Linked DNA regions of Oreochromis niloticus. The protein of the gene in region 3 purifies or fractionates together with the protein of the main gene of each other region. This does not show direct contact. Links are inferred from orthologs where the notes say so. Each region holds a gene or a part of one and is shown on either strand. Other genes may lie near its edges.

The links. The genes of interacting proteins can lie anywhere in the genome.
Region 1: the proteins of ago4 (region 3) and trinucleotide repeat-containing gene 6A protein purify together in Homo sapiens (co-immunoprecipitation; 4 studies listed by BioGRID and IntAct, with this or other methods). This does not show direct contact. The link is inferred for Oreochromis niloticus from reciprocal best matches to the Homo sapiens genes AGO4 and TNRC6A.
Region 2: the proteins of ago4 (region 3) and tnrc6ba purify together in Homo sapiens (co-immunoprecipitation; 3 studies listed by BioGRID and IntAct, with this or other methods). This does not show direct contact. The link is inferred for Oreochromis niloticus from reciprocal best matches to the Homo sapiens genes AGO4 and TNRC6B.

The regions. Positions count from the first base shown.
Region 1 is NC_031969.2:12,147,842-12,158,913, reverse strand, and holds the start of trinucleotide repeat-containing gene 6A protein, read left to right. Parts: upstream 1-5,941; 5' UTR 5,942-6,023; intron 6,024-11,072. Other genes in the region: E3 ubiquitin-protein ligase RBBP6, read left to right, coding at 343-1,575.
Region 2 is NC_031973.2:22,676,776-22,687,822, reverse strand, and holds the start of tnrc6ba (trinucleotide repeat-containing gene 6B protein), read right to left. Parts: upstream 5,132-11,047; 5' UTR 4,994-5,131; intron 4,453-4,993; exon of another isoform or gene 4,385-4,452; intron 3,364-4,384; 5' UTR 3,274-3,363; intron 2,647-3,273; 5' UTR 2,625-2,646; intron 2,265-2,624; 5' UTR 1,973-2,264; coding exon 1,828-1,972; intron 1,221-1,827; coding exon 1-1,220. Other genes in the region: uncharacterized protein si:ch211-141o9.10, read left to right, coding at 5,459-5,606, 5,686-5,895, 6,002-6,184, 9,312-9,443, 9,595-9,699, 9,782-9,911, 10,029-10,089.
Region 3 is NC_031985.2:14,061,219-14,072,426, forward strand, and holds the start of ago4 (protein argonaute-4), read left to right. Parts: upstream 1-6,108; 5' UTR 6,109-6,154; coding exon 6,155-6,377; intron 6,378-7,128; exon of another isoform or gene 7,129-7,311; coding exon of another isoform or gene 7,312-7,330; intron 7,331-11,208. Other genes in the region: clspn (claspin), read right to left, coding at 1-235, 395-497, 1,021-1,093, 1,174-1,230, 1,496-1,639, 2,439-2,872, 3,798-3,915, 4,660-4,686.

The sequences.
Region 1 (11,072 bases), on a different chromosome or scaffold from region 3:
AATGACAACAAGAGTTGCCTCAAGGCACTTCATACTGTAAGGTAAAGACCCTACAATAGTAGAAAGAAAGCCCTAATTAGATAACCCCCTGTGTACAAGCACTCGGTGACAGTGAAAAAAAAGAAACTCAAAAAGGAAAAACTCCCTTTTAACAGTCACCTGTTACAACCAGTTGTGGGTTAAGGAAAGGAGACAGGACAACTGATTACATGAGGAAGAGTGCCAGAGATTAATAATAACTAATGATGCTTAAGCTACTATGACTATGACTTACTCCCTTAAAAAAAAAAAAAAAAAGTCATGACGTCTGAGTCACATTGTATTTTTACTTTTATTTCCCAGGCACCCCGATCAACATGGGAGAGAGACGATGAGCAGGATGAAGGAAAAGCCAGAGTTCACACTGACCGTGTTTCTTTGACTCTGCCTCAACCGCCAGTGACCAACAAAGTAGAGGGTGACGAGGAACAGCGGGGAGAGAGGCGCAGGGAGAAAGCGAGAGATTCTCCTTGCTCCTGGTCACACAGAAGTGTGGCTCCCTCTAGTGGCAAAGACAGAGCTGTAAGCACCACATCTGCAAATGCAGGCAAGGAGACGAGGAGAGAGATGGACAGGCAGAGGAACAGAGAGAGGGAGAGGCAACAAGAGAGGAAAAGGTCAAAAGAACAAACAAGAGAGGAAGGAAGCGGGAGAGACGGGGACAAAGAGCGAAAACGCACTGCCTATCTCCCCACCTCCTCTCAGTTTTACTCCTTCTCAACATCACACGATGCAGATAGGACAGATCTGCAATACGGGGGCAGCCAGGGTAGCAACAAGAGTTCATCCTGTCCCAGCGGGAAATTCACCAGTGCCAGAAACAGGGAAAGCAGCACGATAAGCAGAGAACCCGTCCTGCCTGATGAAGATGCACAGAAAACACACAGAGAGCCATCACTGAATCTCAGATACAAAGATAAAGACTACAGCCACTACCACAGTAACCACCAAGATTCATCAGGGAGTGATCGAAATAAAGACAGAGCTCCAGGGACACACCACTCCCACAGCCGGGGTAAAGGCAGAGACCTGCTCCCCTTTGAATCTCCTGGATACTCTCAAAGAGAATCCCCTCATTTGGGGTTAATGCAGAGCAAAGCTGGAAAAGAAGAGTGGAAACCAAACAAGGCTGAGAAATTAGTCAAAGAAGGCATAGAGGGGAGAGAAAATCGAGGCATGATGGCTGTGCAGGGTGGAGGTGCCTGGTGGGAGCATGAGGCTGATTATAAAGTGGATGGAGAAGAAGGCTGGTTCGGGGGAGGGAGGGATCTGGAGGAAGGGGAGATGCTCAGCAGCCGAAGCAGCAGCGTCGGCTCGTCAGCGAGCCAGGGGAACAGCAAAGACGACAAGAGGACAGAGAAGGAGAGGAAACAAAAAAGGCAGAAAAAAGAGAAAAGGCAGGCGACCCTGGAGCAGCCGCAGGACAGAGAGCTGAAGAAACACACACACAAGAAGTCCAAGAACAGCAGAGAGGGCGCAGAAGAGGAGAGCGGAGGAGAGGGGGCCGACAGGTGGAAACGAAAGGAAAACCACTGATCCCCACTCGGATGTGTCACCTCGACTCTAAAAATAAAGTTAAATTTACTTGAATGATGTTTTTTCTCTGACCAACAGGTGCCTGGATTTTGTTTTTTGTTGTTACTTTTGTTTAATTTTTGCTCCAGGATACGTTTTGTATCACGTTAAGATCTTCATAATTCATTTATAGCATTCGCAATCCTCGTATAAAATTGTGAAGAAACGGCACTTTATACAAAATTCAAAAAAAAGAAATGAATGTGACTGAAATCACAGGGCGAAGCTTAACGCTCTTGAATTATTTTGACTTGAAGGATTTTTGCACTTGTTTACAACTTGCTCAGGACTGCCAGCAGTTACGATTCACATGAATCTGCTATGGATGGAAATCTTACATTTTGAATAGTCAGTCGATAATTTGCCTTGCCTCGCACAGGGGTGCGTTTGGATTACTGAGAAAAAGATTGTAATCATTTAAAATGCACAGCCTTCTGTGAATATTTAGGATTTAACCTCTGTGTTGTATTTTGTTTATTTATTAATTTTTTTTATGTTTAATCTAAAAACTACTGGATAGATGAATGATTTAGTAGAGGCAAGTTTAGTTTTTCCTGTTTTGAGGGAAATAAATAATAATTTAAAAAAATCTAAAATCTTGTGTTTCTGTCTGGATGTCTGCTGATTCTACAAGTGAGGACAAGTGGTAACTGCAGGTTTAATATACAGTACATCTACTTCACTGCACTTTGGATTTGACTTTCTGTTGCATCTTTACCTTAAAGTCTGATTATTTTTGCAGATAAATTCTATTACAATAGATCCAGCTACCACCAATATATAATAAACAGCAGCTATTTATGTACTGTTCTGAAAATCCTGCAGGCCAATTCCTCAATTTTATAATCCTGCTTAAATAGCTGAATAGCACAAGGGTTGTATACTCGATGTAAAATATATTTAAAGTAGATACAGTAAACATTATGTGGGATGTCACTTTTCAGAGTTATGCATTGACATCCTGATTTGGCTGAACCCTGAATGCACTTCCTGAAACAACCCAAAGGAATTTTGTCTCTTTCAGGGATTGAGATTTCAATTTGAGTTTTTGTGTTTTATTCAGTCTAATTTTATTCAGAATGAATTTTCATAATTCAGTTTACTCTTGATCATTTGAATTTTTTTTTAGTTTTATTAGTTTCAGTGTTTGCTTTAGTTTTTGTTTTGTTTTTTAGAATAATATTACATGAAGAGCATATGTGAGAGACAAGATTTGGGAAAATGAGCACAATCGTTAGAATAAAAACTTTTTGAAAATAGTTTAGTCTTGTAACAATCCAAAATCTCAGCACATCCATCAAAGCCTCATCATGCAGGTTGTAATAACGTTTACCAAACAAATACTAAAACTAACATTTCCTCTGTATTTTTTTTTTATTTCAGATTGTTTTCCAAGTTAATAAAACAATTTCAGTTAGTTTTAATATTTTTGAAAAGTCTAGTTTCTATTTTTATTTTAGTTATCTAAAGAGTTTTTTTTTCGTTTCAGACTTTAGTTTATATTCACTAAACTACAATAGTCTTGGTGTAAAACACTACACTATCAAGCTAGAGCAAAATAAATAAATGAAGCTATGAAAAAAATACAGAGTACAAAGTACAATATTTGCGTCTAAAACATAGTGGAGCAGAAGGACAAAATAGAAGATCATGATCCTGAAAAATAATGCTTAATGTTTTTACAGACCTATACGGTGATGGTGCTGTGCAATATTTAACGTTTTGGCATTGATCGTATACCAATTAAATATAAGGCCGATATTGCTGATGCCAATATTGTTATTGTTTCTTTTAACCCATAAAGGCAGCTTATGAAGGGAAGAGCAGTGTGTCATGATTTATGAGATGATGAATAATCATCACTTCTGAACACATTTTAATGACCATGAAATGATTATGATTTATACTTTCCACAAGAATAAATAAGACAATACTATTAATAATACAACAAAACACACTTTTCAGCTTTTCGTGTATTTTGAAAATAGATTTGTCGGAGACCTGGAGTGTAATTGTGCACTTTGGGTCAATTTCTGTTGTTTAAATGTGCATAGGCTATAAAAAAAAATAAAACAGACATGCCAATCAACACAATTCAGTACATACTGCGCTTCTGTATCTATATTTGAATTGATCTACCAACCTTTATATTTAAGTGGTGTTTATCAGACAAGACTTAGGCTAATTTAAATATTTGTATAGCGTATCTTATTTTAATTTGTTTATTTGTTTAACTATCTGCATTGTATCCCCAGTTCTCTAATATGCTCTGTCCTAACTAGTTAACGTTTCCACCCTGCGGCCTTGGCTGCTAACACAACAGGCTAAGCTGTTACTATCACTGTGAGCACGCTAGCATGCTAAAATAGCCAAACTGATATTACTCGTCCTTACTTTAAAATATTCTGAATAAAGTTTTCTCTTCTATCACAGTCAAACGTGTCTATTTAATATATTATTATTATTATTCCTTTTATTACTTCTGGCGGGCTGAGTATGTTGAGTATCCATTATTTCAGCCGCTAAAGGCGGTCAGGTGACTAAAGGCTGGAGCACGGGGCAGGTAGGCTGATTTATGGTTTAAATCCTCCGCTTAAACAGTCCCTGTGAATTAACTGAGTGAATCTGTCAAAGTAAAGAATCTGTACAAAGCTTTGGTGGTCTGTTATTTTTGCTTGGAGTTTGTTTAGCTGTTTAAAAGTGAGTCACATTGGAGTCTTAAGAACAGCTGTATGTAGGCAGCCATATTTCTCTTTAATTATCTGCCAGTACAGGAGACTCTGTTTTCTTCCTTTTTTAGTTAAGAGTTTGAGGGGAAGTTGGTCTGTCCTTGTTTTGTCATATCAGTCAGTGTAGCACTACCACTGTCAGATCCAGGGCTTAGACTGTTGCAAAACTAGAAACTAGTGGAGCATGGTGGCTCTTTTCAATGCAAATTAAATTTAAAGGCTCATATTTCTGCAACTCCTTAAGTTGTAGGAGTACTAAGGTGACTTGTTTGTTTTCTCTAGCTCAGGGGTGGAAAACATTGTTTTAGTTCTTGGGCCACATACAACCTATTTTGTACAAGTAATAATGTTTAAAGGGGCTCGTAACAACTTCTGCAAAATAAAAAAACCCAATCCTGTCTCCTATTACCTTAAAAATTTGCCAGACAAATAAAATCATTATTTCTTGTTCAGTGATCGAGTAAGAAAACAGGTGATGGATATATTTCAAGAGCACTTTCAAGTACATTTTGAATCAACTTTTTTTTTTAAATCTAAATTAATTGACCATCAAACCACATTTGAAAGGTACAAACATTTCACATGTAGATCTTTTGTAACTAAACATCTGGTATTTCATGTCTTTATGATTCAAACAACTAGTCTCAGTTAGAAATGCTCGGACATTTCCCCTCCTGTAGAAATGTTTCACACATTACAATGGGTCACATGGGTCGGGTTAGACAAATTGGTGGGCATGTTATGGCTCCCAGGCTGCATATTTGACACCCCTGAGCTGCAGGTTGGCCAATGTGCATTTAGGTCAGAAAGATTTGTGCTAATTGCTGACGGTTGTGTGGAGCATTATCTGCAGCACTTATGCAGAAAATGAAAAGTTATGAGCAAGTTATTAAAACGCAGGGAAAAAATAATTGCCCTGCTGGTCTCCGTCCAGGACGGTCTTCTCAAGAGCGACTCCTCCTGGTTAAGTAAAGCTTTTGAGTAACATGTTTTCCAGATGTCTTTCTCTTTGGTGTGCAACCTGGCACCTCCGTCCGAATGTTCTAGTGCTTGTAACGTTATCTGAAAATCAAATAGTTGCTCTGCACTTGAGCAGTACTGTGCAAAATTCTTGAGCCACCTCTTATTTCCTTATATTTAGTTTCTAAGGAGCTAGACTTTCTTATTTTTTAAGTGCAGTCTTGAGCAATAGTTCTCCAGCTTTCTGAAAGTTTTGCTTTGGACAATGGCTCATTTTTCACTCATTTATTTAACATAAATTCCTGAAGATTACTTAAAAAAATTAGAAGAAGGTTGACTAAGAGAGCTCAGGCTGTGTTGAAGAATAAAGGTGGTCGTACCAAACTCTGCTTTTTTTTTTCTTATATACTATATTTAAATGTGATTTTTGCATGTTTCAATAAATCACTAAACCTACTGTTCATTTGAAGGGTGACTCAGGACTTCAGTTCTGAAAACATTTATCAAGGCTGTCACGATGAATGATCATTTGCTATTAAACCTGAAATGTGGACATTATCTCTGGAATAGGACACTGTAACACCACCTCTGAGCTCTTTGTCTTTGCACCGTTGCATGTTGCCGTCTCTCCGCTCCAGTTCAAAGCAGCCAACATCTCAGCCAGCTGACCAGAGACTCGCTTCTCCTCCACTCATCTGTCTACTTTGCCTACATTACCAGGTAGAGATGCTCACACTGAACACAATAAATACATTTTTTCCCCCAACTTTACTTCCTGCAACCCTTAAAAAAGCACTTGAATCAAAGCAGGAGCCAAACACAGTTTCACGGAGAACAAAGACGTGCTAACGAAGTCGCTGTTTGGACAGGTTGGTGGTTGTCCGCCATGTTGGGTTTTCTTGTTAGAACAAATATGAAAGACATGCTCAATATGCCTGATGTCTATGCTGGCGTGGGCTGTTGTGCTCACCGTATGTGCGTGTGTGTGTGTGTGTGTTGATGGTTGAAGTCTATCCAAGCATTTCTTGCTTCATTAGCTCACTACAAGGAAAGACATGGCAGAGATCCAGGCTCTCTGTCTTTCTTTCCATCTCTTCTGTTTTACCGCTGTGAGAGTAATCACCCAGTGTTGTGCCAAGGCATGCTGGGATTGAACAGTGGAGATGGTGTGGGTGTGGGTAGGGGGTGCCCGACTTGGCTTGAGTCCAAGCCTCTGATGGAGGGATGCAAGGACACCCGAGGACAGTCGATAATCTGAAATACTTTCATAACAGAAGACGTCCTCTTCTGTTGGCTTGTTGTGTGCTGCTGCATGACCTCCAAGATGGCTGCTGTCATGTGTGCAACATCTGTGTTTGCATTTATTAACCCTCAAACTTCAGTGGATCTTTTTAACCGCTAAATATAAAGATGCAAAGATGGGGGTGTAAGACTGCATCTGTGCATGAAGAAAGCAGACGCACTGACATATGCACAGAGAGACACATCAGACAGTGAGAAAGACAAAAACAGAGCAGCATGGTGAGAGAGACAAAAAGACAGACGCACAAGTATTCACACAGATGCAGCAAAAAAGTGGGTGGCAGACTAAGATGTAAGGAAAAAAGGAAAGTGACCGGCGCATAAAGGCTCATAAAAAATGAGACATGAGACAGACAGAGAGGTGCTGATGCCAGGCAGACACACAGACAACGCTCCAGGCAGGCAGAAGGACAGCCAGACAGACAGACAGGTGGACCCTGTAGCAATCAAGAGCAACATCCTGCTCCTCCTCTCCCAGCGTGGCGTGGATCAGAGCCGAGGTACGCGCCTTTTTTTTTTTTCAAATTTATTTCTCAGCAGTCTTGAGTTCTCCGTCGTCCCGCCGTCTGCTGCGCTTCTTTTCTTTTTGTTTTGGCTGTTTTTCTTTGTTTCTTTCTGTCTTTCGTCTGCGCTTCCTGCCCTCCTTTGTGCCCGTGAGGAGTGCCGACGTCTCAGGGCGCCGTGCCAGCACTGCCGGATGAAGACCAGGCTGTGCCTACCCGTGTGTGTGTGTGTTGGTGTATGCAGATTGGCTTGTTTTGGTTCAGCGGCAGCTGTAAACACTTGTTTGTGGCGTTACACGCATGTGCCTATTGAGCAGAGGACCCGCTGCCAGCCTACACTTTCACGTAATTAAGCCCGAGTCTTTACTAATCAACAGAGCAGAGAAATGCAAATAAATAGTTTTTAGAAACAAAGCGAAGCAAAGATGAAGCAAAAAAGTGAAACATTCACTCTTTGCAGTCAGCGTGAAAGGAAAGCAGTGATGTTATAATTCTCGTAATACTTCATTACGTCTGCAGTGTGAGGATTTTCCTGGTATTTGCTGTTTTAAATGAATTGCCAAGCAAAATGTTCAGGGTCTTTGTTGAGTTTTATTTTAGTTTTAATATTGTTTTAAGGCTCTGAATGTATCCCTGCTATATTGTGCTCATTTGCAACTCCATAACTTCCATCTTAGATCCTTTACATGTGGGAAACCAAGCTGTTATAGCCACCCTACCTTTAAAACAGACTTTGGATAAGTCTTCATCTTTGCAGAGTGATTTCGCAGAATCCAAAAAACTAACAGTGTGTAGACCCACAGCGATGACACTGTGCAGGAAGAATGCTTATTGGTTGAAGTGTCAGCTTAAGCAGGAAAGGGAACGTCAGCGGAGTTCAGCAGAAAGAGGAAGACGCACCAAAAAATAATCAAAGATGTAAAAAAATTGTTTGTTTACGCATCACTGCAACTTTGAATGTATAACTTCTGTGTTCTCTGCAGCAGAGGCTGAACCAAGGGGTCAACAACAGCACAAACACGAGCAGAAGCAGCTTACAACATCATAAGAAACATAAAACACCTCCTTTCAGTACAACTTGTGGCCCGATAACATAACATTTATTTAACATAATATTTGAATTAAACATCATTACTGCAGCACTCAGACAATTAGTCAAACATACAGACAAAACTGACTCCTTTGCTTCATGCTGTGTGCCTTTGTGGATCATATTATAGATATAACCTCCAAGTAGAAAAGACCTGTGGAAACAGGGATTCCTCATTATTTGAAACACGTGCCATGTTTAATTTGAACATAGTCACTGAACTCGTCTATATGTGACTGAAAATGAGGTAAATGGTCAGTTTTAACTTTAAAAAAAGTGACTTTCATTTAATAAATACATGGCATGTATCTGAAATGGTACACAGATTATAAATATTTTGTGCACAGTAGTAAAACAACAAGGACATCATGTTGACCTACAGATGGGGTTTTTTAAGGCGTGAGGAAGCAAGTTTCCTATCTTTCAAGGTTGGATGGGGCAAACACGGAGTAAGAGTGTGGGATATTCCTGATACAGGCAAGCTGCTCATACAAAGAAGTGTTTTTTTACCTCTCAGCTGTAAATGGGTGATGGGCTATTGTTGTCACCCTGTAGCAGCTTCGAATTGAAACCTTAGGTGTGTCTACTAGAAGGCTGAGGCGTACCACTGGTGGCTACAAGTAATTTCTTATATTTACAGTCATTCAACTTTGTTAGGTTAATTGGTTAATTGATGACTAAATTGTCTGTAGGTGTGAATGCGAGCCTTCTCTCTGTATTAGCCCTGCAATAGACTGGGAGCCTGCCAAGGGTGTACCCTGCCTTTCGCCCTGTGGCCCCTCCCCAAACACCCAATGCATAAACGTATAGGTTTTATAAACTTAAATGCCGAAAGTATTTGTTCATCCATCCAAATCATTGAATTCAGGTGTTCAAATCACTTCCATGGCCACAGGTGTATAAACCCATGCACCTAGGCATGCAGACTGCTTCTGCAAACATCAGTGAATGAATGGGTCGCTCTCAGGAGCTCTATAACAAAGTGGAAGGGATTTTAAGTGGTAGTGTCCTGGACTGAGTCTTTTGACCCAGCATTTTGAGTTTCATGCCTTTTTGTATTATGATGTTCTTGTGTTGTTTGTATAGTTTAGGCTTCAGTGAGTTCTGCTGATATTGAGTTCTGTTTCCTTATTTAGTTCTTGTCTGTCTAGGTTCCTCCCATGTCTGTGTCTTCCCCATTATGTGGGTTAGGGTGTCGTGTCTTCAGTGCACGAGTCTGTCAAGTCTCCCTCGCCCTTTCTGTGTCTCAGTGATGTCTTTGTCTCCCTTTGTCTCCCATCGTGTCCCTTTTGTTCTCGCTCCCTCTCTTTCGTGTTTCCTCGCTCCCCGTCTCATCTTCTCCTTAACTATCACCATGTCAAGTCTGTGTGTCTTAGTCCTCGAGCTTCCTGTTTTATTTTGACAATCTTGTGCTCCATGTTCATTGTGTTTTGTTTTGCTTCCCTGTGGCGTCATCTTGATTTGTATCAGCTATTTCCCTGTGTGTTTACACTTCCCCTGATCACCTCCTGTCTGTATATAGTCTGTGAGTTTTCATTTATTCTTTGTCAGGTTGTCTGTTGAGTTCATGTTATGTTTCCATGCCTCCATGTTTCCAGGTTTTTCATGTTCAGGTTTTATCATGTTCAAGGTTTTATGTTATTTGTCTCATGTGTTTAGCATTTAGTTTCTCCCAGTTTAGTTCTAGTTAGTTTTGCCTTAGTGTGCCTTTTGTTTTGTGCATTTTCCCCAGCCAAAAATAAACGGTTCGCCTTTTGTTAAATTATATTTTTGCTCCAAGTGTCTCCTCCTCTTTCCACACGGTCTGCCAGCGCAGACTGTGACAGGTAGGCCATGTAGCGAGGTCATCGGATGCTTGGCACTATGTGCCTCGGCTGAGGCATAGTGCCCTCACACTTCATGTGACTTTCAGATTAGCTCAAGAAAAGTGTGTAGAGAGCTTCATGGAATGGGTTTCCATGGTTGAGCAGCTGCACCCAAGCCTTACATCATCAAGGGCAATGCAAAGCATTGGATACTTTGCATTGGATGATGTAAAGCATGCTGCCACTGGACTGTAGAGCAGTGGAGACGTGTTCTCTGAATTGAAGAATCGCACTTCTCCATCTGGCAATATGATGGACGAGTCAGGGTTTGCCCAGAGAACGGTACTCCACCAAGTGTAAGGTTTGGTGGAGGGACGATTACGGTGTGGGGTTATTATTCAGGAGTTGGGTTTTGCTGCTTAGTTTCAGTGAAATGAACTCCCAATGCTTCAGCATACCAAGACATTTTAGACAATTTCATGGTCCCAACTTTGTGTAAACAGTTTGGGGATGGTCCCTTCCTGTTCCAACATGACTGCACACCAGTGCACAAAGTCCAGTCCACAAAGACATGAATGAGCAAGTTTGGTGTGGAAGAACTTGACTGGCCTGCACAGAGTCCTGACCTCAACCCAACAGAACACCTTTGGGATGAATTAGACTGGAGACTGTGACCCGGGGTTTCTCATCCAACATCAGTGTCTGACCTCACAAATGTGCTTCTGGAAGAAGGTCAAAAATTCCCATAAACACTCATAAACCTTGTGGAACTTATATCTGCATCCGCTGGGCGACATAATAAACTCTATAGATTAAGAATGTGATGTCACTCAAGGTCATATGTTTGTAAAGGCTGACGAGTGGATATTTTTGACAATATAGTGCAGGATCTAATCTGAAAAGTCTGGCAGAGATAAATATGTATGTTGTTTATTTCATCAATCACATAGTCTGTTAGTCCCTTCCAGAGTAAAGGAAAACAACAAAACCCAAGCATTATGGTACTGTGTTTAAAGTAGCAGAAAGTCTCAAGCTGCTCTAAGCTACTGTGCGTGATCACGTAATCAAG
Region 2 (11,047 bases), on a different chromosome or scaffold from region 3:
GTTCCCCGCTGTGCTGCCTCCACTGCTGCTGCTGTTACTGCTGCAGGCTCCACTCATTCCCTCACCTCCTGGATTCGGTCCACCAACCCCACCAGAGTTCCCACCCCACTCACTACCAGAAATCCCTCTTTCACCACCATCTCCCGATAACCCCCACCCTCCCTGAGATACCCCAGAGGTTTGACTCATGTTGCCCCCATTTCCAGCACTACCCCAAACATTAACCCCACTTGTGGAACTTTGATAACCCCAACCTGAAGTCCCATTATCCCCTTCTGCAGCTCCAAATACCCCTGTGCAAGTTCCTCCACTCTCCCAACCATCAGTCCTTGAGGCACCCGTTTTGGAGTTAGCTGCAGGGTAAGAAGGCTGGCCTCTCCATGAGGAGACAAGGCTGTGCTCTTCACTCATCCCACTTCCTCCCGCACCATGGTCCATTCCTCCCCCTATCCCTTCTCCCCCCGCAATTTTTGGTCCCGCTGATTTACTGTCCCAATTCCCTCCACCCATTTCTCTGTCTCTGGATTGCATTTGGTGAAGTTGGTGCTGATGGGTGTTTGATTGATTCACAGATAAAGATGGGTGACCCCCCAGGACACCAGCTGCCCCCAGGGAAGCAGAGTTGTTGGCAGACCCGCCAGGGCCCTGATGGTGAAAGGAAGACTGACCTCCTTCACCTACAGCAGCGGGGCCATCCTGCTGCACCAGTGCAGGCCAGGCTGAAGGGTTGGCATTTGGATTGAAGTTGGCACCTGGAATCCCACTGCTGCCATCAACGGAGCCACTGGCATCATGGCTCCCTGGCACAGCGGGGGCTTTGGAAAGTGAGGAGGACTGTTGTAGCAGAGGCCCAGCTGCAGTTACTGCAATACCTCCTCCAAGATGACCCTGGGAGGCAGCCGTCACCCACGCTGAACTGCTGGACGACTGCATACATTCATTGGGCAAAGAGAACGAGGAAGTGGGTGAGGATTGGTTGCCAGAGGCACTAATGCTATTCACAGGCATTCCGTTGTTGCCGCTGCTCCCTCCATCACTGCCAGCAATACTAGGCCACTCCTCTAGGTCATTGCCATCAACAATCACCTTCTCCCTGCCCTGAGAGGAGGCCTGGCTGCCTGAGCTTGCCCCCCACATGGAATTTGCATAATTAGAAGTAGTAGTAGAAGCAGCAACTGATGATGAGGTGAGAGCCAATGAGGAGGCAGCTGTGCCGGAATCTATAAAAGCAAATCCCACAAAAGAGCAACTTTAGACTCTTCATCAGTCAAAAAAATATTAAATAATGCAGTAAATGACCTGTGCTTTGATAGAGCTTTTTAACGTTTGCGGATCAGACAGTGCTTTACAACAGCTGTTTCCACACATGCAGAGACACACCAGGTGGAGCTTCAAATGTTTACATTTGCTCCAAATGTTTGAGTCAGTCACATCAGACAGGAAACTATTCTGAGAATTCACAGTGAGGAAGCAGACATCTTCTCTGCTCTGTTCACACATGGCCAAGGTAGCACCCTTGACTAATAATATAAACAATATTGGTTTAATCAGCCATCTCCTGTTTTCTGCCATGTGAGAAAACCATCTAGATTATCCATTAACTTGATTTTCCTGACATTTCCCAGAATTAATGTGTGACAATAGCCTCTATTTCACAAACACATCACAGGTTGCAGGTCTTCAATGCTTGCCTGCCATCATGAGTAACTCCTTTTCAAAGGACTCTTTAGCAAGTAGACAGGAGACTCCAGACACCAAAACACCACCCTGTGATTAGTTGATAAACCCACTTTAATACTTATGAACAACAGCATCGTTAACACTTACCTGAAACAGCAGCCATGTTTGCATTGGGGCCATCTCCTCCCACCCCCCCTCCCAGCAGCATGGAGGACAGTGGCGGCTGACCCCTCTTCAGTAGCACTTTATGGTCCTGCTGGCAGCGGAATCGTGGCGGCACTTCTCTCGGCATGTAGCGCGGTGGCTGCTGAGGCGCCTGAGTTCCGCCTCCGCTACTTGCACTGCTGTTTCCAGCAACACTGGAGCCACCAGCGGTGGAGGAAGAACTGGTGGTGGAGGTGGGCTGTCCGTTGGCCACTGCCAGGCGCTTGGCATTGTTGCCGCCCTGTGACGGGGTGGCAGCACTGCCAGGGCCTGAGGTGGCTGGGGATGGGGAGGCAGAGGGGGTGGGTCCAGGGCTGGGGAGGCAGAGCTGCTCTGAGTAGCAGAAGACTGGGCAGAAGCTGGCTTGGTCAAGTCTGGCACTGCAAGAAGGGTAGGGAGGGGAGAGAAAGATTTGTTTAAACAGGTGCATTTTAAGAACGCAAAATGTATTTACTTCAAATGTAACCTCTAATCAAGTATTTGGCAGAAATGGATAGCAAACTGGACTATAAAACAAAGAAATCGATGGATGTGCTCTTTTTTAAAAATTAAAAAAAATGCATCAAGTGTTGTCCAACACATTACAAAGAGAAATAATAATGTCACTGTGATACCATCACAATCCTTTTAGACAAGAAAAACATTTAAAACTAAAGTGTCTAAAGATTAGCTCTGGAAAAAGGAGCAAACAACAAATATTTATATCAAACTCCATAAAAATACATCACTGTGCTGCTTACCTTTGTTTTTTTGCTCTGCAACCTAAAATGAAGAGAAGCAGAAAGTCATGTTAAAATTTAGTTTTTTTGTTTTTGGCTTTCTTCCTTTTTCCTTTCTTCCAGGCAAAGAAAGGAAACTGGTGTTTTTTTAATATTATGAAAGTCTTTCACTTTTCACATAATCTGTCAACATTTAGTTGACACAAAATTAATGTAACATCTAGGGACCTAAGGACAAGAGATTTAATTGTAACAAGTTCAACAGCTGCAGTGTTAACTGCAACTATAGCTCCAGGAAGCCCAAATTACCCAAGACCATGAATCAGGTATCTCGTCAAACAAAGTTAGATTGTATATATACTGAAAAAGCTGAAATGGCATAATGTAAGATCATTCCAAACTCAATCCAAACTAAATGCTGTTGTTGAATGTTGTTGAAACCACTGCCTTAATATGACAGTTCAAATGTGTCCACCTGAGATAAGAGAAAGCACTGAAGTCACTTTAATAGAACCATACAGATATCCATGCAGAACTGCCATTTTAAATGATATGAGTGAATGTGCATAAATTTTACTGCCAGCATACTGTGTCAAGATACAAACGTTCATTTTAATTTGAGTATATCTGCCCTAGAGGACATGGAATCTGGTAAGACAAACACACTCACCTTCTGAGAGGCTTCCCTTTTCCTTTTTTCGTCCTTTTTCCTTTTCTTGTCTTCCATGAACTACTGCTCCTGTCCTGATGCTCCTCTCTTCTGTAAAAAAATAGCGGGCTATTCAAAATTGTAATTACCTATCAACTATTTTAGAACAAGCAACAGTTTGTTTCTATATATTCTAGCTTTTTCCTGTAAACCAAATTTATTCCTCAAGGGAAAAAAGGAAAACATTTAATTCTGATTGCATATCAGACACAATCTCTGTCACTACACTTCCACTGGACAACTGGATAAACTGACCTTTAGGTTCTGTAGGTCCAATCAGTTTAGCTTGATTGACTGGACCTACATATCCAGAAACCCATACCAGATAAACTGAAAGTCTGAAATCTAGATTTGTTTTTCAGACAGAGTGCTGGCAGTTACAAATCCAGGATCATACTCTTTACTGGCTTTAAGTAAAAAATAAATAACTAAAAAATAAAATAAAATGAATTAAGAGATTTCAGCTACAGCAAAGAATGCATTGTCATTAGGATTCCCCATAGCACCTCTATGATCCCTAGGATGTCGGGGACAAACTAAACATTTTATTATTAGATTTTTCAGTTTGAAGATGGAACAGCTGAGCTATTCTACAATTTTTTAACGAAACGAACGGTTTATACTGTTTATTTAATAGGGTGATAGAAATGTCATTCATTTCTATTAGAGCGGAACCAGGGAAGCGCCCGCGAATGCGCAAAATGTAAATCATGTATGTATTACAATATGGCAATAACCGCAATATTAGCATGTCTGGCTTCATGTTAGCACATTAAAACACAAGTCGTCAGTTTTCTCCTTTTCTCCTCGTTTAAAGCAAAACCCAAGCAATCTGGTATGCTTCGGCTGCCTCGGTCTTGTGTTGGTTTCGTTTTTGCTTCGTGTCGTTAACACTTCCATAAAGCAGGATTACTACATTTGGGAAAAGCGACCTGACATTGTCCCTGAGGCATTTATGATCTCAGGCCTGAAGTATCAGAAAGCCAGACATCATCACGATGTTATTTCGATGTGTCAGATCTGCAGTATAGTAAACCCTATCCAGCAGCTCTACCAGCTTATGCTGACATACCTGTCAACGTTATTCCAAGCTCACCAGCATTAGGCAGCAAACGCCACAGCACAAAAAGGTCTGAGCTTTGAGCTTAAATGGAAAGGCGTGTTCAAAAACTGAAGACACGGGTGAATAAATCCGCTTTAGCTGAAATAGTCAGACACATTCATCCTTGCCCCTTCAGGTTTACACAAGCTGCAAGTTCAACAGCTGCTGCTAATAAAATATTTCGTCGAGGCTAACGTTAAGGAGGGGTTCAGCCTAAAATACGTGGACACGAAGCATAGCAGGCATTAACGAGTTCAAACCAACCTAAGTTCAGTAACTGCTCTATCAAGTGAACACAGCGGTCTTGCACAGCAAACACATAAGAGGGCCAAATACCCAGCTCAGCTAACGCAGTGCCAAAAATACGGCTAAAACGGCGCTAATGCTACCGAACATTAGCCAGATAAGCTAAGGTAGCATTACCCAGTGACAGCAGCAACTACAAGTAGCCAGGTTAATGGCGCTAGCTTGGTTTGCAAGCGCCGTGGCATGGCATTTCAGTAAGATGCAGCCCGCTCGCATGCATTCAAACAACGACACAGTGCAAAGCCGAGAAATGTAAAAAATTCACCCACTTACCTCGGGAATCACATATGAAGATACGCTAGCGTGCTAGCTAGCTTAGCTAAAGTGCTTCAGTGCGAATTTTTTTCTAGCTTTTTGAGGCATTCGTCGAGGCTACAAGAACAGCGACGCCTGAGCGGAGAATCAAGTAAAATGGCAGAAAATGAAAATATACGCGTAATAACGTACTGGTTCGTGAGCACTACCGTTATAATAGTGTAAACCCTAATGTGCAGAAGAATTTAAATTCAAAGCGCTGTGGAGTCAGTCGGGTGACGGGCGGCCATTTTGCTGCTCAGCATGAAGCGTCTCCAATGACCAGCCTGTAGCAGCTGCGTGGAAGCCCTCTGACTGGCTGGCTTCTGCCTGAAGAGATGCATAAAACACGCTATTTGACCTCCATAAACTTCTGACAGTCAAACTTAACATTCAACTTATTGCTTATTTCGTAAGGGCTGCTTTCAACTTTCTCTTCGTAGCATGAGTCAGAGAAAAAGGGGAACGAGGAAAAGGAAAAACGAGGATGCCTCCGCAGGAGAAAAGGAGGGCGAGGACACTGAGGAAAGAGGAGACAGGAGGAAGAACCGCGCAACAAAGAAGTACATTGGAGCTCATGTTGGCATTCAAGGTAGGGCCTAATGTCGTCTTCTTTGACACCATTTGAGATAAGCACGCTTACTCACACTTCTGTGACGTCACGTCCATAGGTGGGATATGGAAAGCCGTGGAGTCCTGTATGGAGATGGGTGGCAGCAGTTTCGCCCTGTTCCTGGGGTCCCAGCGATCGTGGAAGAGGCCTGCATTGGACCATACAGCTGCAGCAAAGTTTCAGGAGCTGTGTTCCCAACAGGGGTTTGACCCAGCTCATATCTTGCCTCATGGCTCCTACCTGATGAACTGTGGATCTCCTAAAGAGGGTCCGTCAGACACTGATTATTGTCTTTCATGCCCAGTTATCGCTTATTATTCTTTTCAGAATTATTCTCTGTTTTGGTCTAACTTGCGTACCATATTTTCAACTAGATGTGTTTGAAAAGAGCCAGGCCCTGCTGGTGGACGAGCTCAGCCGCTGCAACCTGCTGGGTCTCAGCCTCTATAACTTCCACCCCGGCTCCTCCCTGGGTACCATCACCACTGAGCAGTGTGTGGACAAGATTGCGAGCGCCATCAATTATGCTCACCAGGAAACCCCATCAGTGGTTACAGGTACGGAGGGCCGCCAGAGTACCTGAAACAACCAGCAGTGTGTAGCTACCTTCCAGTCATTGCCTTTTTGATGAAACCCATATGCAGAGACATTGCCAGAGGTATTAATAAAACTCACAGACTCTATGTAAACGATGGACATAGGTTCCCAGTCTGAAAAGTGAAGCCAGTGCATTCTTTATAATAACCAACAGGGGGCAGCAACTCTGGTTGCAGAAATTGTGGTTTTATGAATAAGACAACTGAAAATTCCAAGTTCCCAGTTGCAAATTTTTTGTGAAATGCCCCTTCAGCTCTGATTTCCCACTTGGAAAATTGGAGCAGACCAACATGCCCCGAGTTAGCAATCCAAGATGGTGGCACTGAACATGAAAGCAATAAAACTATAAACGTTTAATCTGTACTGCCACTGTTGTGTATTTTTGACTCGTTAAATGAGCCATATGCAGAGCACTGATCAGGCTAAAGAAAAGTAAGTATTAGCCATTATTGTCAGTGATACTCGAATGGCTCCACCTGGCTAAGAACCAAAACAAATCCTGTTTTTCACGGCTTTTTCCAGAACATGCTAACTTGGGATTGACACACTCCAGAGATCCGATATCCGAGTACGCAGTTATCTGGAACGTGGCAAAAGTCTGTGGAAGAATGACTCTCTGACTCTGATCTCTGACCTCAGCAGACACTTTACCAATGAGTTTATAGCTGAAGTCTTATTTAAATACAGCATGAAACTCATATTATAGAAAATGCATATAAAGGAGCACAAAATGGGGGGCGCTGGAGCCTATCCCAGCTGTCATAGGGCGAGAGGCGGGGTACGCCCTGGACAGGTCGCCAGTCTGTCGCAGGGCTAACACACAGGGACAGAAATAATAAAGGATAAGCGGAAGCGAATGGATGGATGGATGGATGGATGGAGCACAAAATGGGGTAGACCTTAGTGTGGGCCTGTTTTGTGATTGGCAAGTAACTACCATATAAACTTGCTCATCTGGTTTTCAAAACAGAAAGAATCCAACAGCAGAAAAGCTCAGCCAGAGGTTTCATAACAAGACTTTACTAATTAATGACGCCATGCTGACTGTATCCATCTTTTATAAACCATATGTGATAAAGCACTTCTTTATTGTATTTGGTTCTAAATCCTGTGCTGTCCAGCAGAGGACTATAAATCATTACCTTAAAGGTCAGTAGCTGCTCTGGCATACTGTAAACCAATTGGCAGTGCATGTCAATCTTACTAAATGTCCTATCCTCCCCGTTTCTAAAAAATGAGTTTCTAAGCCAAAGTACAAAAGGGAGATAAACAATGTAGCAAAGAACCAGTTGTCAAAAACTCAGTGATTTATGCCTTAATACACAAAAAGTGCTCCATCAAACCTGTGTGGGTGGGCAGGGAAAGGCACATGCAAGTTTTTGTGTACACTCCATTTATACATCTGGTCTCTGGTGCATACATATTGCCGAAAGGCTTGACTAAACAGATATGCCTTTAGCAGACTTTTTAAAAGGAATCTACTGAATCTGCAAACCTTTAGAGTGGAGGCAGCACATTCCACACCAGCAAAGCCTAAAAAACGTGATCACCCAGAGGACTGTTTGTGGTGGCGCTTGTAGAGTAGAGGTAGTAGTCAGGTCAGGGTTTTTCTAACACAAGAATCCCTACACAAAATATAAGTTCATGTTGTTAAGCTTTCTATTACTGGACTAAATCCCTTTACATGTAGTTATTATATACGCTCAGTAAAACCTTTATTAGGAAATCCATGCTATTATGGGGATGGACCCACTTTTGCCTTTAAAACTGCCCTTAAGTTTTTGTAGCACAGTTTCATCAAGGTGCTGGAAACGTTATGGTCTATATTGACATGATAGCATCACACAGTTGCTGCAGATTTGTCAGAGTCACATGGGAATCTCTTGTTTTACCACATCCCAAAGGTGCTCTATTGGATTGAGATCTGGTGACTATGAATGCCATTTGAGTACAGTACCACCAATGGAAAAATCCAGACCTTACCATCCAAACTCATCAGACCAACCAATGTTTCTCCACTCTTCTGTTGTCCACTTTTGGTGAGCTGATGTTAACCGTAGCCTCAATTTACTATTCTTAGCTCAGAGGAGTGGGACCCATTCTGGTCTTCTGCTGCTGTAGCCAGAGATGCTCTTCTGCATATCTTGGTTGAAACAAGTGGTTATTTAAATTACCTTTGCATTTCTATCATCTCAGAGCAGTCTTACCATTTTCCTCTGACCTCTGGCATCAACAAGGAATTGACGCCCAATTGATAGCAGTCCAAAAAAGAGAAACTATCTGTAAACCATAGAAGCGGGAAAATCCCAGAAAATCAGCAGTTTCTAAAATAATCATCTGGCTCCCACCAACCATGCCACATTCCAGGTCACTTAAATCACTTTTTTTTTGTTTTGTTTTTTTTTTTATTCCCCCTTTCCGATGCTCAGTTTGAATTTCAACAGGCGGTCTTGGCCATGACAATGTGCTCAAATGCATTGAGTTGCTGCCATGTGATTGGTAACGTAACTATCTAATTAATCAATCAATTGAACACTCAAATCTAATGAAGTTCCTGTTGACTGGATTTTGATGCCTATCAAGAGAAATGATGTTTGCATGGCACGTCTGTTAAATAAAAAGCCATTTGATCTTTGCCTGACATTTTAATGTTAACAAAAGTTTGTTGATACAAATACCAGTGCAACTTTCAGTGGTTAGCACTGTCACTTCCCATCAAGAAAGTCTGGGGTTCGACCCTGCTGAGTGACTCTCCAGGTTTCTCCCACAGTACAAAGGTATGATTGTTATGTTAGCTGTTGTACGTTTGATAGGTTTAGATGTGAGCGTAGGTAGCACGTTGTGATGGACACAACCAAGAGTGTACCTCGGCCTTTACTTGCTGACACCTGGGATATACGCTACAGCAGAATACAACAGCAAAAGCCACGTTCAGACTCTGTTTGAAGAGGTAACGACAGAGAAATATTACAAATGTATGAGTGTGTCAAATTAAAAGCCTTTTTTTTTTTCCTCCTTTTTTTTTTCCTCCTTTTTTTTTTTTTTTTTTTCTTTCTGTCTCTCTCTCTGGGCTTTCTGCGTGGTCAGTGTTGGAGAACATGAGTGGCCAAGGCAGTACGGTGGGCGGCAAGTTTTGTGAGCTAAAGAGCATCATAGACAGAGTGAGAGACCAGACCAGGGTAGGAGTCTGTCTGGATACCTGCCATGCATTTGCAGCAGGTGAGTGAAACCTGATAGCAGCCTGTGGCGTTAACCTCAAATTTGCTTTCTGTCCAACAGGGCTGTGATACCTTAAAATATTCAACCTGGCATAAGACCTGAGGGAGTTTCTTTCTGTGCTCAATTGTTGTTTTATGTCTCATCTTGGGAGGATACGACCTCGCTGCAGAGGGAGGTGTGAAGGCCATGCTGGATGAGTTTGACCAAGAAGTGGGGCTCCAATACCTCAAGGCCATTCATCTTAATGACTCCAAAGGTATAGCCAGGGCATAGAGACAGAAAAATCACACATGCAAGTCTCTAGTTGTCTTTCCTTATTCTTTCTGTGTAACCTGAAGGTAAACTTGGCTGTAACCTGGATCGGCATGAAGATATCGGCAAAGGTCACATTGGAATCTCTGCATTTCGAGAAATTGTCAATGAGCCCAGACTGGACAACATCCCTCTGATCCTGGAGACACCCGGACGGTGAGATGGTTGTCTGTTGTATATGGTAATGTATTTATTAATTTCCAAAACAGGAGCTGCTAGCTCATCCTGTTTTCAGGTTCCTCTTTAACATGGCTGCTATGTTCTTCCCCACAGGCCTGGATTTGAATACACTGAGCAGATTGACCTTCTCTATTCCCTGTGTGAGAAAAAGTGAGAAAAGCACTACTGATGAGTCGGCACTGATAAACTGAACTCTGCAAACACACTGTTAGCCGTGAAGAGAAGTGTTGTTTTTGTTTTTTGTCTAGTACCAAAGTGGAGGAGTGACCTATTGTGATATCTCTAAACACGGTCATATTATTAGTCGTTCACCACATGAACAGTTTCTCCAAATTACAAACCTCATCTTTGAATACGAGTTTAATAAAGGTGATTTTGGAAGTTTTTATATGGCGTGGGGAGGAGTCTTGTTCCGAATGAGCCTTTAGGGGGCAGCAGAAACACACAAATGTAAACCAAACCTAATGAGACTTTGGTTTCAAAGGATGCAGGTAGAATAAGTGTGAGGAAATGGTTTGCACATTTGTATTGTTTTTTTTATCTTTAAGCAAAAAGAATTTAAAAAATTGCTGATAAGTGCAACAAACTCAATTAAATGGAGAAAACATAAATTATTGATCCAAAGGTAAATAAACATTTTTGCATTACATATTTCCAGTGGCAACACAAACACAGACATAGAGATAGAATGATAACTATACCTCATCTCTGAAGTTTCAAACAACACTTTTGTTAAATACTATTTACATTTTGTTAATATGACTAAATTGCTGTAAGTTCTATACTTTTTAATTTGCCATACATTAATCAATTTTCTTTTCAATACAGGCCTGCATGACAAAATTAGAAAGCAGTTTTATTTTCCTACAACGAAAATTCCTGTTCAATTCTGTTTGATGTAACTCATTGCCTCATCAATGGGACCTGCTCCAGATTTACCAGTCAAATTCTGTATGCAACTATTACAGACCCTAACACATGACAATCGGCCGTTTTTGAGATGGGGCCAATGACTGGAATTTTAAAAACTGCTCATATCAGATTAAAAATTATATTCCATTGCCATTTGTAAAGAAGGGATAAATAATTACATCTACTTGACAGCTGTCACA
Region 3 (11,208 bases):
TGGGCCTGACTCCTGCTCAGGATCCGAGGTAACCGAAGTTTCTCCGGCCTGGTTGAGGTTCTGCTTTTGCGGGGATGAGGTAGCTGCTGGCTGAAGTAAAGGCTGGATTTGATTGGACGAGATATCCAGAGAAGAATTACAGTCCTCCTCAGTGGATGGCAGTTTGCTGGGTGGGTTTACAGAAGGTGGAGGAGCTGACGGCGTCTCCAACATCATTTCTGAGTACTTTGCAGATCTGAAAGCAGAAAGATTTTTAAATGAAAACATTTTACTTTAACAGAATTAAAGTACAGTTACTTAAATTTGCACTTGTGTGAAATGGGGAGGTCCAGCGGCTATCCTTACATGACTCGTGTCTGACCTCAAATGTGTTAAGTGTCATGTTAGTATTTACTTCAACAATGCCATGGCAGAACCCTCTGGCCTTGCTCTCTTCTTAAAGAACTGGTCGATGGTCTTGGGCTCAGGGATGTGGTAGGGCAGGCCAAGTGAAGACTCTAAAAAGGCAGAAGAATGCAGTTTAAGTAGCAGATAAGTCATTAAATTACACCTGTCAACATCTATGCAATATTCTCCACAGAGAATATTTACAACATTTTCACTTGTTATTGATTTTAGGGGCTTGAATAAGTGAGAAATTTTCCAACATCAGATGGTGAAATTCATTTCATTTTCTTTAAATGAAACTAGCTGGATACACACCCTTCGAACGAGGTTTTGATTTGGAATATTGGATTGCAAGAGCAGGCTTCATAAATGATCTGGCAACTTGTGAAAGCATAAACTAAAACCTTAAAGATGCATCTACTTCAGTTATTTATAATAAAGTGCAGTGTAAATACACAGGAGAAACAGCAAGATGGGTGGGCACCATGAGAAGATTTTAAAGTACGGGGAAAAAAAAACAAAAAACCAGGAGTGTTTGCAGGTATGGAAAGAATACTAAAATGCCATGCTCTATTCAAATTATTGCCCACAATAAAACTTTATAGGGTAAATAAACGTGTCTTATCAACTGACCTCTGACCAGCCTCTGAGACTCACTGTGGAGCTGCTTCATCGCCTCTTTGCTGGCACGTGCAGCCTTTCTCTCCTGAAAGAGTCACATAGTGGCAATGACAAACTGCTTACAATTTAAAGTAATTATTTATTTATTTTTTTGATGGTGCATACCGCACGCTGGGGCTTCTCTGGCACCTCTTCATCCTCCTCCTCATTTGAGAGGGGATCCTGTAGCAACATAGAAACAAAAGGACACAATGTCCAACATGGTCCAACTCTTCTCACCACAACATTAAACCAAAGTGTTACAATAAAATTGAAGGATTTAAATTTAACTCAAGTCACTGACATAAATACAACAGCTGTTTTAATTTTTCTTAAGGAAATAAGTCAAAGGCCAAACATAAATGTTACCAATTCCAAATGTTTATCTTTTATAGTGATGGAAAATGGGTGGAGAGCCCCTCTTTTAAACTACTTGATGTTTTTCCACCTTATGTTTTTTCATCTTTTGCTTGACCGCAGCACGGATCGCATCCAGAGACTCTTCTTCCTCATCATCCAGACCATTGTCAAAAAGTTCTGTGTCTCCCAGCGGACATCCACTGTCATTCAGGGTCCCAGGATGAGGCATTTCCTGAGGAAATGGGAGTAAAGCTGCTTTTAGTTGCATACACATTATCCAAATTGTATCTTGTTTTTTATGGCTTCAACATTTAGCACAACACACAAGATCTAAATTTAAAAACTTTGTTCAGTTTGATCTGTAGTTTAGTCCTTGTTGTAGTGCTCGGGGAACCAAAACACAAATGCTTCCACAACAGTAGTTTGATCATTACACTGATGTGGTAGGAAGTGTCTTTTTTTTTCTTTCTTCCTAACAACAAAGTTCTTCCAGAAGCAGATCTGTTTACTTGACCTTGCAGTTGGACATGCACTGAAAAGCATCATCTGACTGGGACATTTAAAAAAACAAAACAAAAACAAAGGTTTCCAATTTTGAGATAAAATAATGTTTGAAAAACTAATTTTGACAACACATTTAACACAATTATTTGAGGATTTGTGAGTGAGCCATCTTTGTCTTTTTTCTGGTCACACTGACTTAAATAAAGTAATAGAAAGGCCACAAGATTACATTTAAAAAAGAAAATCTACTTAAATAGTATATAAGCTTTTAACATGTAACATACTTGACATAAAATCTTCCTTCACCTACGTGAAGCGTAGTGCACTTTGCTGACAATCATTCACTTTGTGCTTCAAAAACATAATTCTAACTTTTATTGATTTTATTATTTTTTATAATATGTAACAGGCCAGGCTGAGACAGTCCACAGGACGTATTAGTGCCCATGTGTGTTTTAAAAAAAGATGTTATGAGAAGAACCCTTGATGTATCCAGCCAAAAAGAGTTCAGACACTAAAGCACTCACCTCATCCCTTTCAGAGAACCTCTCCTTCTTCTTCAGCTTTTCCACCGCTTTGCAGCGCTTTTCCTTTTTCTCACGATGTCTCTTGCTCTTCTCTCTTTCCTTCACTTCTTTTGCAGATTTCACTTGCCTCTTCACCACTTTCCCCTCTTCCTCCTCCATTTTTCCACTCTTCTCCTCCTCAGGCTCACTGTCCTCGCTATCAACAGGAGCTCGGCTTATTCTCTTGCATTTCTGCCGTCCCTTTTCCTTCTTCTTGTCCTTCTCGTCTACCTTTTCAGTCTCCATTTCCTCTCCGCTGGAAGCAGATAAAACTAGTGCTTCTGCCATGTGTACACTGCTATCTGCAGCTGCCGCCTCTTCCTCGCTGTCACTGTCTCTAATGGCATTACGGTGAGGCTTTCTGTGCACCATGATGTCTTCATCGTCATCAGAATCTGATAAATAAGACAGAAAAACCAACCAATTTAGAAAGTTAGAATGAAGTAGAGTAGAATGGAAATGGTAGAGTGGTAATCCCAGCTCATATCAATGTGTAATGAAACAAAATACTAGAGTTTGCACTAAACAGTGAGAAAAATAAATTCAAGTAGAATTTTATTCTAATGCATATATTTGTTTTACCAATAAATAAATAAATTAAACACATTAAGCAAACTTAATGTGGTTTGGACATGTGAAGTGGGATACTGGACATATTGGTCAAAAAATAAAAAAGGGAGAAAATGGAGCTTCCAGGCAGGAGAAAAAGCAGAAGTCAAAGAGGACATATGTCCTCAGGGAGTGGTTTGGAGGCAAAATGATGGAGTTTTTACTACATAAACAGTTTAATTCGTTTTCAAGTTACCTTTAGAAATCGACAACTTGAATCTTAGAAAAGTTTTTTTGCTCTATGTCACAGCCCTGATGAAATTTCTTTGGTAGAAGGGAAAAAAACATCTTCAGTGAGCACCAAGAGTTCTTATATGCAGGACAATATATGCAGAAAACCTTGATATAAACCCTTCTGAAGAAACCTCAGACAAAACAAATATAAGTCCAGGGAGACTGAAATACTTCATTATTAAAGTATTTATACTATTTCCTACAGAATTTCCCTTGGACTGATATGTTACTCTTTGCCTTTATTGTTTTTCAAACAAATGTGGTCCTTTGGAAACTGGACATCTTTTAGATACTGGTTTGCTTTTCATTTATAACCTTTGAATGTATATTTTCTCAAGAACTGCAGCTTTGAATCTTTGGTCAGACTGGCTCGTTATGGTAACTAGTGTTTCTCTGCCTACTCTGGTGTCACAGGCAGTTGCATAAATGCATACCTCATTTACACAGCCAGAGTGGCTCATTGTTATGCTGCTTTACCTGGACGACCTTCTCTTTTGTTAGAGGTGTCTGTAGCCATCTCCTCTGCTGGTGAGCCCACACCGCTGTCTGAATCACTCTCTGTTGCAGTCTGGGCCACAACTGGAAGTCCCTCACCCTGCATACAGTAGCACATAATACACATGAATTGTTGCTGCATGGGGCGAGTAAAAGGTACTTAGTGGAAAAAAACTTGAGGTTAAGTATCAACTGAAAAACAGTTCATCTGGGGCAGGGGTAGAAGTTCAGTTTAGGTTACTTGATTGAGATTCATGTTGTGTGAGACTGCTTTTGTTAAATCTAGTAACACTAGGAATTCATTTCGAATGGAAGGCAACCCAAATTGCTGCATAGCTCATTAAAACAAAGTACCACAGTATAGCATGTTTCTGCATTTGACAAAAACACAGAGGAGAGGGTGTTAACACAGAGGATGGGTGTCACTTTTGTCACTTTGGGCAGCGAAACTGTTGTTCGTTGACAGGACTGGCGCCTTGAAGTAAACCAAACAATGAGCAGCATGTCTGCCTTTCAACGTTTCTAATTATCACCATTCAGGCAACAGATAAGGCTGTCCGTGAGTCCCCTAGGTCTTACTTTAATAAAAGGATTTAAAATTAAAATGTCAAATTGACACGCTTTAAAAGGCCCAAGCCAGTTACCACTTTCCAAAAGAGCTGAGCTAAACCTAACCTAGCCAGGAAGCTAGGTGGCTAACAAAATGTGCAGTTAGCATATTTCTTTCGATCTTGCCAATCTCCACCAAAAAAACCTACCCGATGAAACAGAGTGATATATGCAAGTCTAGAAAAGTTAGGCAGAGGTTCAAGATAATCACTGACAAACCAAAGCATTGCCTGACCTGTTGTTGAGAAAGCACCAAGCTCATCTTTGTCCGCTGGCTAGTTTACGTTCTTTTTTTGCAAAATAAACCGGCTCAGACGGCACCTCGTAGTCTCGTGTCACCCACAAAAAACGTGGACAAGTTACCGTCAAAGCGACCAGCGCTGCTTCTGTGTTTTAATTGACATTTAGTTAGCGTTTAGCCGGAAAAGTTATCTTCCTCCCGCCTGTTCCATACACACCGAATAGAAATTTTGATGTTTCGCGCGCCGCGACAGCTGGCCCGCAGTTTTTCGCCACCGGAACGTCAATCGCAGTGTTCTCGATTTCCTATTGGTCTGTTTGGCGCAGATGTCCCGCCTAATTTAACTACGCTGCATTGCAAAAGCGTTTGTTTAAACCCCGGGACCTCTCCGGCGAGTGGGGATTGTTGCTGGAGAAGAAACAGAAAGGAAAAAAATTCCAAATATCATAACAACTTTAACACTTATTGACATGCTAATTAATCATAAAGCACAGTTATTGGAAATGCACCGTTTTACAGCTATTCTATTGTCCCGTTGCAAGGAAAATGGCATTGCATAATGGAGTGATATCCTTTATTCAATCATTTATCGCTTATTTGTTCTTTACAGAACTTCTACCCTGACATTTCAAAACCATTACATTTCTCCACATTTCTGTCCATCTACACAGATTTTTCTGTGCAATTCTACTTACAAACCCAGTATTCCTCAATCAAGTCTTAAAGCCAGCGCTTTGTTGATACTAATTAATCCAATTAATGATGCAAATTACATATCTATGAGTTGTCTGTTTCTCAAAATTAATAGCATAACCCTGACTTCTCTTAATTAGTATTTTTTCCAGGTTTGTGCTGCTTAATACAGTTTTGTCAGTGGTGTCTATCACACGGTTAAATGAAACATTCGGATTTTTAGCAGTGTCCCACGGTTTCATTTGTTAGACCGAACAATAACTGTGACGAGTTTCTTCTCTAACCCCGAAACTGACCCCCCCCCACTCACATCCCCACCCAAAGGCTGATACTCCAGGTTAATCAACAAGCGACATTGATTTTTTAATCAGTTTTTTCAGCTCTACTATATAGCTAAACAGATAATTCGTAATCATCAATCAGCAACTGACACTAACACAATGTTCCACTCCAAATGTACTTACCAGTAAGTGAATTTATGTCAACATCTTGCACTCTGAACCATTGCACACAGAGCAAGAACCAAACTGGAGTCCTACTCCTTGAATGCACATACTTGGCCATTAGGTTTTTATTTCCAATTTACATCATTTTTAACAGCATTTTATCATTATAATATTGTTTCAGTTTTATTGAAACCAAGTTTTTTAGAACTTTCAGATGTGACTATTTAAGCCAACTGCGCATGCGTGTCCAGGTGAAAAAAGGTATATATGAAGCAGGGGTGCAGGGCGCAGGGGTTTTTTTTTCAGTGTGGAGGTATCCTACTGGAGGAGGTGGAGTAGCAACAATAGTAATGACTAAGGGCAAGGAGCTGGTACCACGTAGCGAGAATCGTGTGGGGCTGTTATTGAGCGTATCAACTAATTACAGCGTCATGGCAGCAGAAACCATGAACTGGGAGTTGTTGCAGAAAAAATACGGTTATATTTTAAGGCGGTTCCTGGAGCGTTATGTGCTACCAAAGCAAGGCAACGGAAAAGGGAGGAGGTATGAAGACCGGTTTGGATTTAGAAGAGGTACGTATGCTCAGATTTTATATCTTGCCTTGAGTTTCTCTTTATCTTTATTTTGTGACCATGTTTCTACAAGTCCCAACTAAATCTTCAAAGGAAAAACATTCAAATTGAAATCTTAAACTAGAACAGTAACATGTTTGGGGGTCTTAACCCCCCCTCAAAAAAGTAGGTAGGTAAAAGATTTCTTATTATATAATCCAAGTAAATTACAAAAACACAAACGGACGAAAAGCTACTGCCTTTTATTCTGCTTTATTCAGGTAAAATAAAACAGGGCATGTGTGGCTTGCTTGGAAAGTATCACTTCAAAAAGCTTCTCAGTTTGAAAAAACAAAACAAAAAAACTTATACAAGATTTGTTTTAAATGGTTTGATGTATCACAGCACAATTAATTAAGCATTAAGAAACTTTGATATTTGTTATTTGGTGTAACAAATATTTGGTATATACTGTGGTTACAGACAGAAATGGACTTTTAAAATCCCACACTGGAGACGTTCACGCGTCGAATGAATGAGAAAATGAATTGGAGATATAATAGAAAAATGAATGAATACAAGGGTAATTTGTACAGTGTAAAAAATGTTATTATACTTATTGAGGCTATATTGTTTAGCCTGTATTTAATTTTCAATCACAAACAAAGAAATTTAGAGTATAACCAGCAAAAGCAACTGCTTGCATCTCCGCGGTATCCTACGGTGGATTTTCGCCACTTGTAACCGACGCATGCGCATATCCAAATCCTCAGAACGAGCAGCAGCGGCAGCGGTAGCTCAGTTCAGGTCAGCCCAGTCAGCAGTCGTCCACGCGTCTATCTATACTCCCGTTTCTTAAATTTAGCCACTTTCAAGCTTCGAGATACCGCCCCCAATTTCAGCGTCGGTACGGAGCCGCCAGGCCGGGACAGAGACGGAGAGAGAGGCCTCGGCCATGGAAGCGCTCGGACCCGGTAAGGATTTTTAAGAAAGCGAGAGCGGAGCGAGGAGCTGGGAGCGCGAGCCGTGTGTGGGGCGCGTGTGCGCAAATGCGTCGCTTCACTGGGGGCCGCGGCTGCAGCGAGGCCTCGCTGTGACGGGAAAACAAGCCGAGGCCCAAGCCCGTGTTTGTGTACGTACTCGTAGTACGTTATTTACATCGAACCAGGGGGGCTCTTTTTCCTGTTAGTACCGGAGGGGGTTGTTTTTATCCAGTCTCCCGCCGTGTCCGAGGGTTATATTTATGTCAGGCACGCTCTACTCGTCGTGTCGGGGCTGGCATTGTGTGAGTGGGGATTTAACTGGGACCTTCCTTCCTCCTTCCTTCCGCGTCGTGCTGTGTTTACGTTGTTTGGTTCTCGCTGTGTTTATTCGGCGTTTCACGCGTTTACGACCCGATTTCTTCAAGGGGACCGCGCGTTTGCGTCGAAATACGGCGGGATATAACGTGTTTTTGCCAAATCCCCCTCTCAGTTAAATCATATAAATCTGCCTGCACCATCGCCATCAGGAGCAGGCAAGCTCGTCTCTTACACCCCCCTCCCCGCCCGTCCAAGATGACAGCGATGGGTTGGGAAGACAAAATGAATGCCAACAAAACACATGTTTACTCGGCAGATGTGGTGATTTTGTGTTTTTTTTAATGTGAGGTGGTCATTGGTTTGCGCGCCTCTCCTTGGGCAGCAGCCATGCGCCCGTGAGAGCACAGCAGGGATGGATGGCGCTCTTATCGATCAGATCTGCAGGCCAGCTCCATTATAGTCTCCTATATGATAACAAAGGCACGTATTTTGATGCAATAAAGGCATGCAGTGGGAAGTCAAATCATGCACCTGTGCGGTCAGCAGTCCAATATGCAGTGTTATTGTCACAAAGCTGCAAAATATGTTTAGGTCATATTTTTTCCCCCCCACTGGAGACATTGTGTTCTTTTTTTTGTGTGTGTGTGGGAAACGCGCCTTTTCATAAACGAAGCATCTTGCAACAGAAAAAACCAGTCTTCATGCAACAGCATTGACATGGTTTATTATTATTTATTTATTTTTTTGACTTTCTAAATGACCAAACATTTCCCCCGCAAGCAACAGAAGAAAGGTGGTGGCATTAGGAAGCACTAGATGTGTTATTTAAGCAGGAAATGTGCTCCTGCAGAAATTGTTAAATGGATGCAAGAAGCTGTGAGGGTCCAGGATTATTGGGGACAATACAGCCTGTCTATCCTACAGGGGTGTGTTTGGATCATTGTTGCACATAATGAAATGAAATGAAATAATGAGTAATCAGCGTTTTTTATTATACATTAGTGATTGCTTATTGTACCTGCTGTCTGTACCTTGCTACAGCAAGTGTTTAGGTTGTGGAGTGTGAATTGAGATTTTCTATCAAAGCCTTTGTTTACACATTCATAGATGCAGACGTAACAATGAGATTTTTGTGATAAATATAAATATGATCTGTGAACACTGCTCTAGAATTTCTCTTTTTGGGATGTTTGTAAAGCTTTGTTGCCCTTTTCAAAGGCAATGCTGAATCTTATTAATATTGAATTATTAATGATAATATTAATATAATGCGAACTGGTCATGGTGCAGGTGTGAATAGTGAATGCATAATGGTGATTATGTTGAAGTAACTGTAAATCTGAATGGATTAGAAATAAGTTAGACTCTTGGCAGTTCTATTTAGTTGTGTTTGAGCTATGTCACCTTAAGATACTTAACATTATAAGGTAAAGACAACATAATATTGGAGAGAGCACCCAAATAACCTAATACTTTGGCATAATTGCTGTCTTTTTCAAAATTTCTATACACGCTTAATATCATTCTTTTCTTTATGACCAAAATAAACACAAAGCTTTAATATTGTGATGGCCTTAATTGCAGTTTTTAAGTCTTCTAAATTAGTTACAGTAATGACTTGTAGCCCATTCTGTGTGTCTGCTGTCTCCTGTTTAGTCGTGCTTCAGCAATACTCTTGTACAGTGGTGGGGATTTCTTCAAACACAGGAAAGATGTAAAGCAGACGGTCAACTGTCTGTTCTTAGAGGTGTGAAATGCAGCAGTGAGTGGCCTATTCAGTGACAGAATTCAGAATTGGGTTGTTGTTGTCTCGAAATTGTGGTGGAGTCACACAGCATGATGAATATGCAGAGATGAGTGAAAAGACAAAAGCCTGGAGGACACTGAGTGAAACTGGGAAGAAGTGTAGTAATTTTGAAGTATAAGATGGGCTGTGCTCCCATTTGGAAAATGCATTAATTCATAATGGTAAACATGGTCAGCAAGACATCCTGTGTTGCATTTAAAATCATCTAAATCAGCTCGTCTTATAGCTTCTGCACATCTCTACACTGATGTGTGGATATTTCTACATTGTGAATGGTCACTAAGCTTTTCTTAATGTATCTCCTCTTTCTCCTGTCCGGCGTAGTACCTTAATCCGGGTGATTTTCAGGTGTGGGCGTCAGTGTACTCCCTGTTCGGTGCTCTTAGTCTCTGACTCATCGCTGGGCCAAGCCATCATCCTCGTGCTTAGCTTTAAGCCCAGCTGTCTATGCTCCACTGTGGTTACCAGGGACACGCATAGCATTAGTAGGCTCTACAGTGCATTAGTAGGAAACCCTACTCAGAAAGTGTGAGTACACTGCACACGATCTAATGGTTTGTCTAAATTAGATCAGTGAAGAGTGGGGGGTGGGGTGTTATAGTAAGATAGGCAGGCGGAAATCTTTGTACCATGTTTATGGTCAGTTTGGATTTAAGCTTCGAAAAGGCTCATAAGGAAAAGGAAGGCTTGTTTTTCTGTAGAGCATCTGTCATTTTCTGTGTAAGGGGGGAAAAAGTTAATTTCACTTCCTCTGTGACTCAAAGTAGATGCAGCTCTGTCTCATTTGGAGCAGAAGCACAAATTATGGAGGAAGCTCGCTGTAAATGTGAGAGCTGCTGTTTATATGATATTCAGCAGTGTTTAAGTACTTCATTGATGTTCTGGTTGAAAAAATGAATTAAAAGACCTGTGCAGGTTGTCACTGCTGTCTTGTGTTAGTGCAGCTGACAGGTTTGCTAAAATATGTAGGCTCTGTATTAAATATTGATATTTTTTACTGAAACTGTGCCTCGTAGCTCCACAGTGTAGTGGTTTACATATTTGCCAGACAAGAGAGAGATCCCCTAGTTTGATCCTAGGAGGAAAGACGGATCCCTTTGGGGTTGTATCAGGAAGGGCGTCTGGTGTAAAAACTGCCAAATCAAACATTTGGAGCTGCCCACTGTGGCGACCCCTTGTGAATAAAGGAGCAGTTGAAAGTGCCGTAACTGAGAATGAGCTTGTGACATTCACAAAAAACAAGACCATGTTTACTCAGAAGTTCTTTAAATTGAAACGTCTTATCCACACGTGTGGCTTAAGTTTTGTTTAATGTTCAGTGGCCTGGAGTGTCATCCAATACAAACTTACTAATTTATGTTTAATTTTAAAAGTAGATCTTTATTTTTGGTTGCCTGTGGCAGCAAAGTCAACAGTTACTCAGATTTGCTATAAGTCGTTAGTTATTGGATTACAAGTACTTGGAAAAGAGCTGAGCTTTAGACAGTTGGTCAGACAAAACTATCAGTTTTTATCTCGTGCTGGGTGCTTTTCATATTTGACAATTTAAAGTTCATGTTGGGTCAAGTGGGGGGGGGGGCTAAATAGGGTTAGTGGAGAGAAGAGCGGTTGTGGAGGAAGGATGACTTCAAGCATTTCACATCGAGACACATTTCTAAGCGTAGTAATGTAGCAGCTGAGGAGGCTAAATATAGACACAGCTCTGTTTTTGGTGGAAGAGGAAGCCCTCAAAGTTGCTGTGCAT